2 linked regions of the Arabidopsis thaliana genome follow. The protein of the gene in region 2 interacts with the protein of the main gene of each other region in a pairwise test. Each region holds a gene or a part of one and is shown on either strand. Other genes may lie near its edges. The genes, in order: MOS14 and RS31.

Region 1 (5,020 bases), on a different chromosome or scaffold from region 2:
TCTGATAGTGGATCACAGTTCAAACTTGAGAGAGCTGCATGCACCAATGGATGACAGGCAAGCACTGTTCCAGGAATCCTGAAAAAGACCACCCCAAAGTTCACCAGTATACAGTTCAGTCAGTATCATCGTTGCTAAGTTGAATTGGTGAAAATAAAGAAGGATAGCAAGTAGAAACCAACAGCAACAAATCAGATAAACTTAGCTTTGTGTCTAAGATGATTCTATATAGGACAAAATCTATGACCCATATATTAAAACAATTTACAACCTGACGAACTCGCAATGAATATTTGTAATCTAGACGAGCTTTTGTTCTAAATAAAACTGGAGATAGAAAAGCAAAAGAAAAGAGCATACCCATGCCTAAGACGGAGCCAAGAAGCAAATGCCTCGAGAACCTGAAAAATCAAAATTACAGAACACAATTGACAATAAGTGACTTCTTGCAACACCAAAAACACTAGCTGGTCCAACACACAGGAACATGGGACATTTTTCAGAAGCTAACAATAATGCAAGAAGACATATTAAATTTTGGCAGGTGAGTGAAAACCTAAGATGTAATCAAGCTTTTACCTAAAACTAGCAAATATGTTTTGACAAGGCAAACATAGACTCTGACTGGTAAAGAAAGTAAAAACTAGTGGAAAGTAAAAAAACAGACATGCATCAGAAAACATAAAAAGAAGAAGGTTATTTTGATGTGTTATACAGAGGGATCATGGAAAGTGAATAACAAACTATGTACTGAACTATGTCACGACTCTATATTAAAGATAAGCTCTGACCTGTTCCTTAAGTTCGGATATTTTCAAACATGCTGATAAGATACTAAGTGCAGCTTCCATTTGAGAAGTAAGCTCTTTTTCGAATTGACGTCGTCGATCCGGACGAGCAGCTATTTTGTAGTTAAATGTTTCCTGGTCATAGCAAGAAGGACAATATAAGATCAAGACATCATATAACCATCTAGATTAAAGCTAAACATTCCTAAAGTGAATCAAGTTAATGAAAGGGAAAGGTCAAACGATGTGGTAGAGATTTGTGAAAAAATTAGAATCTTCATTTAGTTACAAATAAACTACCAACATTTTTTGCAAACAATACCATACAAAATATCAAGGTCTTGCCCAGCCAATACTTTAGGGATTGAAATAACACTCACAGAGTAACGTCGAATGCTACCTAAACATAGATATGGAAAAAGTAAAAAAGGAACAGAATATTCTCCAAATAGGTCTACCCAATTTGAGGTCAGTAATACCAGCATAAATAATAAGTAAGAAGATCCAAGTCAGACCAAAATAAGGCCTTTCATATCTATATAGCCGGATACATGAAGTCAAATTAATTACTGAGTGAGATGAACACTTAAACAAAGGAATAAAAAATACTCTACCTCGGGCAAAACTGTCAAGAGTTCCAAGAAACCAGGCACATATTCAGGATGCATATGCATCTCATCCCTAAGCCAGCTAATTATACCACCATCTCCCCAGTCTGCCGCAGGAACATGCACCGCCAAGGCAGCAACAGCAATGCTAATCTACAATATAAAATACTTAAATAAGATAACTCGACACAAAGTACATGACTTTATACGCACAACAGAAAATTCCACATATGCACTTACCTGGGTCCTAACTTTTGGAGGGCCCTTGTGGAACTTTTTTAACAATGTCTGCATTTGAGAAAATAATGAAAGTCAAAATTTTCCGGGAAGTAATTGTCCAATACCAAGAATAATAGGCCAGAAAGATGAAATCATAGTAAAACCTAGATCCCAGAATACTCTAGTTCAACTGAGTTTTCCTATTATGTTATTGCTCAAAGGAACAGACATACTAATGAATAACTCATGAAACCCTACAACTTTGGAAGAAATAGTTAATAGAACAAAGAATTACCGTTAATGATTGCCGTAGCTTCTGAAAAGCCCCAGGTGGTAGTTCTTCAAAATCTCGTTGAACCTTCGAGTGAGACAGACTAGATGTCACCAGAATGCTCCAAGATTGTGTGATAAATGAATAAGGATTTACAGAAACATTCAGGTGCATTTACCTTGCTTCGAAGGGTCTGAGAACAGAATATCAAAGTTTCCAAATTGCTAGAAGAATCATGAAGTAAATTATCCGCAACCTAGAAAACATACAACAGCACAGAGTAAGAAATATTGTAGAACTTCTCCATCAAAAAAAATCCTCTTCTCCGCAACAACAATCATGGGTCTAAAAGAAAAGAGCTCATATAAAACCTAGCTAATCGTTTCTCTAACAAGGTAAATCTATTCACACACCTTACACATACTTCTCAAACCAGCTACAGGAAAAAGTGCACAATTGAACTTAGATGTACTGAAAATTCGAGATTTCTGCTATGCATAAGCCTATATGACCTTAACAAGCGAATCGCTAATACAAATTGACTAAAGGATGAAAATTTATGCACTTATATAGTCTAAAGTAACTCAGAAATGAACTTAGACGTACTGAAATTTTGAGATTTCTGCTATGCATAAGCCTATATGACCTTAAAGAGCAAATCACTAATACAAATTGACTAAAGGATGAAACTTTATGCACCTATATGGTCTACAGTAGCTGAAAATCGAACATTAAACTCTAGCACAAGTGCTACAAAACAAGGAAGAACAAATCGAACCTAAACAAATCGAGATTAAATAATTGAAATCGAAAAGAAAAAACTCGCCTGCCAAGCATCGAGAGTTCCTTGGAAGTTCTGAAGCCAGCGATCAGCGTGCACACGCACTGTATCATCCGGGTGATGATACAGTGCGTTTAGGGCTTCTTTGACCGCGTTCTGATGCTCCATAGCTATGAATCTTTACGCGTTATTCGCTCGTACGGTCACCAAATCACGACCAGAGAGAAAGACCCAGATTGAGAAATAGAAGAATTTGCCCAACTGAAATTCGGGATTTTGTCAAATCGATTTCGCCCAACAAAAACAATAAAAATAAAAACTTTTTTTTTCCCTCTTTGTCAAAAAGGTTTTTTTTTGGCGCCCCTCAACTTGAGTGAGGAAGAGAGATAGAGATCGAATTTTGATCTGAAAGAGGATGAAGAAGAGAGAATCTCAGCCGTTAGATACAATTACTTTGACTTAAAGTCAAATCCTTCTTCTTTTATTTTGAAGACAGAAGTTGTTTACTTTTTTTCAGTTGTTGCAATAAATTGAAGACAACAAAAAAAACGTATCATTGATTCATCATAACATAAAGATTATACAAAGGACAAGATTTAAGACCAACATATGTTACTGAATCAATTGTTACAAGTTATATAATAGGACAATACAACAATGTTTTATAAAGTGTTAATCTCTCTGGTCACTCTCATATTCTATCTTATGATATAACAGCAAAATGATACACACGCATAGGATAAAAAATAAAGGGTTGCATTCATTTTTACTGCCTACAAAACACATCCATCAATCAGAGAAAGACTCTTTTTTATGTGGTTCGGTTAAAGTTCCCATCAACCTGCATATGGAGCCACTCCGGTTGAGATACTCGGGTTTCATTAGCTTCTTGTTGCTCGTATATTGTTCGATGAACGTCAATCGGTAAAGTCCCGAGCTGATACAACACACCAAGAGCTTTTAGATTTAGTAGCTTTGATTAAGAAAGATAAGATTTTTCTATGTTCTTTTAGATTTGGGACTTACATCACCGGAAGGAAAAACTCCTATTGTCGGACCAGTACTTGCACCCGAGTTAACAACTTCTAGCTTCATTGATAGAAACTGCAGACCAAACTCCATGCTTAGGCATGTATAATTGTAACATATAACAGAGAGGTGTTAACGACTTTTACCTCAACTTGCCGCTGCAATGACTGAATATAATTGATAATCTCATCGAGCACAAGGGCTTTTCCGATTATCTGATCAACAGAAATATCTTGTTGAATGTTTTTTAGGCTATAATAACATCATTCACAAGCAGGGACCAAAAGAACATGTACCTTATTACATCCTGGAATTATATCTTGAAGAGCTGTCATCTTCTCACTGATCTTTTCTCTTCTAGCCTGTCAAAGACAACATTGTGATTCTAATAAAAGGAACAGTTTTTGAGGATAAAATTTATGGTGATTTTAGCAGAAGAATTACTCGCTCTGCTAAACTATGCCGGTCAGTAGCTTGTCCTCTTCTTGCTCTCACATGAATATAATCCTTTGGTGGCTCAGGTTTGTTCTTCTGTTCCGTTGCTTTGCTTCCACCACCACCCGAACTTGTTTCGCCTTCAGGTCTCATCGAACCATCTCCATTTCCACTTTCAGATCCACACAGTTTTCTTTTCTTATCCCCTGATTCTTTCTATTAAAAAAGTAAACAGATGGAAAGCTTTAAGATCCTAAATCAAACTCTCAATCTAAGATCACTAAGTAAGCATTGACCATTCCAACATCTATCAAACTAATGGTCTTCAAGCTGAATCCAACTTAAGTCAAAAAGTCAATGGAGATAAGTCATCTAATCTATAAACTAATCCTTGATCCCTAAACCAAAGACTTAAACTTTGACTCATTGATTTTTAGATCACCACCAAGCTAAAGGATCTAGATTCAAACATTCAAAAGACCCAACAAATAAAAATCAGGACTTTTCAAAAATTGAAGTGCAAAATCTCACCAATTCATTACCACTGCTGCTGGAAGAAACCATCTTTGAAGAATCATCCTCAGAGTTCAAATCTCTAGTCTTTCTACTTCCCCAGCCAGCAGTTAGATCGGTGACTGTAGATTCCTCAGCCGCGGAGACGTCTTTATTGCCGGAATGTTCAGAGCGAGTAAAGACTCGACCGGAGTTAACAGCTAAACGGAGACCAGAGCGAACGGCGTCGTTTACAGGGAAAGGCCAAATCTCGGAGAGAGTGTAAGAAGAAGGATTAGCTGCAGAGAAGGAGGAATCGTTCACTAGTGGAGGGTCCATTTCCGATGATCGTAAAAAGGGTTGACCCAGATTTAGGACCCGGATCCGAGAAGTGAGG
Region 2 (4,982 bases):
GACTATTTTGTTTCCGCAATTTGTAGTCCAAGTGCAAACAAAACATGATTTACATGTAAACTGAAAATTGGCTTGATCAAGAATTATCGATAACCAATTTGGGCCTATCAACATAAATACCATTGTATCTATATACATGGGCCAAAATTGACAAAGTATATTATTTGATAGACATTTAAGATATAATAAATGTCAGTATTCTTTTTTTTTTTAGGTGAGACAAATGTCAGTAATCTACTAATCTTTGACACAATCATAGCGTATCCAATTTATATTTGACACAATCAGGTGAAAACAAAGGACTGGTAAAAGAGTATTATTGATCGTTTTTCCACCATTATTCCAATATCCACTCTAATTGCATGATTTTTACAATTCATCATCTACAAACCTCAAAAAAAGTTGAAGAATATTTGCATATATAGAGTCACAAACTCATAAATAACACATCCAAATATTAATATCTATGGCCATTTAGTGAACTCAAAGACCTTAAGAACGATATCAAGACCTGTTGGGATTTGCCAAATGAAAAGAAGAACATTTACTGCATTCAACGCTATATGTAGACTCCTCGCCGTATCGTTCCCTTTCTGCATTGCCGGCACCAATGCTGCCGCCGCCGCCCACAACACCGTTATTCCTGCCACCACCACCACCATGAACACAAAATGTGACACGTTTTGTACATCCAATAACAAATATAAACCACATTTTTTCTCATAGTTGTGATGAATGGTAACTTTTGAAATGGCACAATACTATTTATACCAATATAACTAAAATCCAAAGTTCTGATCAAAACTTAAACCACATCAGACCAAGCCAAAACCTGACTAAGCAACCCAAGATTACACACTTTGATAAATTAGAACCTAAAATCAAGGAAATGAAAAATAAGACGAGAGATAGGTTTAAGGTACCTGCACCGGCGTAAAGATGAGGACCGGGGAAGAGTTTACCAGTACGAAGATAAGTGTTAACACCACCAAAGACAGCTTCCAAAACACCGAAACCTAACAAAACAGAGCCAGCGTCAAAGTGTTTGTCTCTGTAAGACCCTTTGACCAACTCTTTCCTCTCTTCAGTTAGCCGTTGGATCTGAAGCTCAGTCGTAGAAGGAGGCGACGAAGAATCAACGGCTGTGGAACCATCAGGGGAAACAGGAGTTGGTTTAAGCTGTTTCTTGAGATCACTAATCTCACTCTGTATCGTACGGACACGTCTCCATTGCCAACCTAAGTAACCAGTCCAAAGAGTGTATGCAAATAAACCTCCCATCACAATTGGGTGTATCAACGCAAATGATCTCCCTTCTAATATTCCGAATTCTCCTCCAGCTGCTGCTGCATCCTTTTGAAATTGCAAAGAAAACAAGAATCTTGATCATCTGGTTATATTTGTAGAATGTGAAACTATTGGGGAAAGATGTGAAACTTTTTGATTACCTGTGGGTCGAGGAAGAAAGGCAATGCGATGACTGCGAGAGGGAGAGAGGATGATTTAAGGAGCTGAAGAGCGTTGGGAGTGGAGGGTATTTCTGGGGTTTTACATGGTTGTGATTTGGTGGTGATTGGTTTGAGAGAGTTTAGGGTTTTAGGGTGATGAGTGCGAGGAAGAAGATGGAGTGTGGAGAGACAATGAAGTGTGGTCGCCATACTCGCGATTCTTGGAACAGAGATTGTGGCAAAAAGAGTGAAGAAGAAACAATAGAGACATCCTAAACCGCAAAAATGATCGAACCAAAACAGATAAGAGAACTCCGTTGAATCTCCACGTGTCAGAAAACTGGACACTTACATAAACTTTAATTCTTTTCTTCTTCACCGACGGAAAATGGGTCTGTATATAAACATGTATAAATTTAATTCTATAAGAAAAGACTCCAACGAGTTCTTCGGTATGGGGCTAACTTATTGTGGGCCTATTTATAAAGAAGGCCCATTATGATTTTTGAATTTCCGAATGTACCCATGATGGTATGACGGGCTTTTTTAAGTCAACCAGGCTCTGCTTTTCTTCGATGAGCGTAGTAGTCGTCGTCGTCGTCTAGGGTTTGTTTTTCGTTTCTTCTCCGATTGTTCAGAGGTAACTTTTCTCCGATAATTATACTTGCTCATGTCCATATACCTTATTTTATCCCTTACATGTTACTAATTTCGAGTTATTGGATCGTTAGGAATTGCGAATTAAGATAAAGATGAGGCCAGTGTTCGTCGGCAATTTCGAGTATGAAACTCGCCAGTCGGATCTGGAACGGTTGTTCGACAAGTATGGGAGAGTCGACCGAGTGGACATGAAATCTGGTAAAGTGTCTTCTAAGTTATACGCCGGTGAAATTTTGTTGTTTGTCCGTCTCGAATTCGAATTCGTCTTCTGGTTGATAAATCATCTTTGCTTAGGTTTAGTTTCTGCTTGACCTAGGATTCTGGATACTTAGAACTAGTTCCAGTTTCATACATGATTTGAAGGTTTATATATAGTACCGTTACATAGAAAAGATTGGTTTTATTTTTCCCGAATGTGTTAAGTGTGGTAGGGGGTTTATGCAGTAGAGAGGATGGTTGTATTGAGTGTTTATTTGTTCGCAGGAACTTTTCTTCAAAGGAACAAGATTTGCCATCTTCTTCTTCTTCCTGCAAAATCATTTCTACATTTTCATACCTGCCTTTATCATCTTGTGCCTACCAATCTTCACTGACTCTAGAGAAACTTTGGAATTTGTCTGTCTATTACCAATCATCGATGCTTCAGATGGAAGTCTATTGAATCCATCATTGCCATGCCTTGCCTTCCATATCTGAACTCCTCCACTCAGAATGTTTAAGCATGCCTGGCAAATCACTCAGATTTTTTAATATAAAATTGGTGTTTTTAAAAATAAAAATCCTGAATTCCTGTGTTATGCTACAAATCTTGTTTTTCTACTACATCATGGAATGCCTCTACATCTCTCATATTCACCAGCCTTCACTTATATGAAGGTGTTGTATATCTATTTAGTTATTTTCTAGGGTAAACGAGATATGCAGCAGGTTAATGGACAGGAGGATTGTCACTCTTTGTGTTGCGTTTTGTAATCCTTGTGCTTTCTTTTGTTGCAGGATATGCTTTTGTGTACTTTGAGGATGAACGTGATGCTGAAGACGCTATTCGCAAACTCGACAATTTTCCTTTTGGATATGAGAAACGCAGGTTATCAGTTGAATGGGCAAAGGTATAAATTTTTTTCTGGTTTTTATTGAAGCTTGCACTATGCCGCATATTTAAGAAACCTTTTAAAGTTTCTTTCGGTTTTCAGGGTGAACGTGGCAGGCCTCGTGGTGACGCGAAAGCCCCTTCAAATCTGAAGCCTACAAAGACACTGTTTGTCATTAACTTTGACCCCATTAGAACAAAAGAGCACGACATTGAAAAACACTTTGAGCCCTATGGTAAGGTCACCAACGTGCGTATCAGACGCAACTTCTCATTTGTTCAGTTTGAAACACAAGAGGATGCTACAAAAGCCCTTGAAGCTACTCAAAGAAGGTAAAACAACACTTCTTCTAGTTACTTTTTCCGTCAAACTTTTAGTACATTTGCCTCTCTAAAAACATCCCCTTTTTGTTTCCTCAGCAAAATATTGGATAGGGTTGTTTCCGTGGAGTATGCGTTGAAAGATGACGATGAAAGAGATGATCGAAATGGTGGTCGTAGCCCGAGAAGGTCTCTTAGTCCTGTGTATCGTAGGCGTCCAAGTCCAGATTATGGCAGGCGTCCAAGCCCTGGTCAGGGTAGGCGTCCAAGTCCAGATTATGGTCGTGCTCGAAGCCCAGAATACGACAGATACAAAGGTCCAGCAGCTTATGAAAGACGGAGGAGTCCAGATTATGGACGAAGGAGTTCTGATTATGGTAGACAAAGGAGCCCTGGTTATGACCGATACAGAAGGTAAAAAAAAAAAAAAATGGCTTTGGCTTCTTACTGTTCACTCAAGTCCCATTGATGTTCTTATGTAATGTTTTTGATTGAACAGTCGTTCTCCAGTCCCAAGAGGAAGACCTTGATCAATGCAGAAAACAGAAGCTTCGAAGAATGAGTTTTTCGAAAGGGTAAATTTATCTATGTTGTGTTTTGAGTTAGAAGATGCTTTTTGATGTTTTGAAATCCTTGTTAACTTTGGGATCTTAGACTTTTATCTTAAAATCAGTAGAAACTTCATAATGGCGCTTTGTCACGATCTGTTACTTGGTTCATATACTCTTTTCATTCGTCATTAATTATTCTAAATCCCATATAAATTAACAATGACACAAGTTTGCCAGAAAATAAATCATTTTGATGCAACTTTTTTCCTATATGACAACGGAAGGAAATTGTCACTTTGTTTGAACAATTAATTACCTGCAAACAATTACTTTGAGGGCAACGCTTCCCATCAGGTGGGATAATTGGGCCGATAGGCCCAAAAACTCTCCGAAATTCTTTAGTCAAACGCTATGCCGTCGCTTCTAATAAACTTTTTTTTTTTTTTTGATAAACATTCTTATAATCTTTTGATTTTTGTGAAACTTGTGATCGAAAAGAAAGAAAAATTGTATAAGGTAAAATTGTAAAAAAAAGACAATTGAGAATCGAGGTGGAATTCTTTTTATAACTTTTCTATAATGATATTATTAACTAGTTAAAATATTTGTGAGACATGTCCTTTTATTCCTTCGATTTCTTTGGCCTGAAGATAAACAGCTTTGTATAATATTTTTATAAATATATAGTTGACTCCATCGATCCGTTGCATTATGTTTTCTTAATTGTTTTGAATAAAGCGACCATGCGCGCAGATAAATGTAGATTTCTTATAGACTAGGAGAATATCGCGTTTGATTTCATCTTGGATATTTAAATTTAAACAGGAGTAGTCATGTAATTAAATAATCAAAACAACACAAACCCAATGAAAAATTCATGTTTGGTTGGCGGGCACTATAAAGTGGGCATCT

Evidence for each region.
Region 1: the proteins of RS31 (region 2) and MOS14 interact in a two-hybrid assay, tested with the Arabidopsis thaliana proteins (one study listed by BioGRID).

The regions. Positions count from the first base shown.
Region 1 is NC_003076.8:25,129,639-25,134,658, forward strand, and holds the start of MOS14 (ARM repeat superfamily protein), read right to left. Parts: upstream 3,079-5,020; 5' UTR 2,836-3,078; coding exon 2,713-2,835; intron 2,143-2,712; coding exon 2,065-2,142; intron 1,974-2,064; coding exon 1,911-1,973; intron 1,685-1,910; coding exon 1,637-1,684; intron 1,550-1,636; coding exon 1,403-1,549; intron 924-1,402; coding exon 792-923; intron 402-791; coding exon 361-401; intron 79-360; coding exon 1-78. Other genes in the region: AT5G62610 (basic helix-loop-helix (bHLH) DNA-binding superfamily protein), read right to left, coding at 3,479-3,604, 3,694-3,771, 3,843-3,911, 3,993-4,058, 4,141-4,347, 4,663-4,962. UniProt on the Arabidopsis thaliana protein: Functions as a nuclear import receptor for serine-arginine rich (SR) proteins. Regulates nuclear import of SR proteins that are required for proper splicing of the two resistance (R) genes SNC1 and RPS4, a crucial step for their functions in plant immunity.
Region 2 is NC_003074.8:22,899,378-22,904,359, reverse strand, and holds RS31 (RNA-binding (RRM/RBD/RNP motifs) family protein), read left to right. Parts: upstream 1-1,964; 5' UTR 1,965-2,088; intron 2,089-2,179; 5' UTR 2,180-2,200; coding exon 2,201-2,306; intron 2,307-3,104; coding exon 3,105-3,217; intron 3,218-3,301; coding exon 3,302-3,531; intron 3,532-3,618; coding exon 3,619-3,933; intron 3,934-4,018; coding exon 4,019-4,049; 3' UTR 4,050-4,310; downstream 4,311-4,982. Other genes in the region: AT3G61870 (plant/protein), read right to left, coding at 465-643, 924-1,353, 1,449-1,658.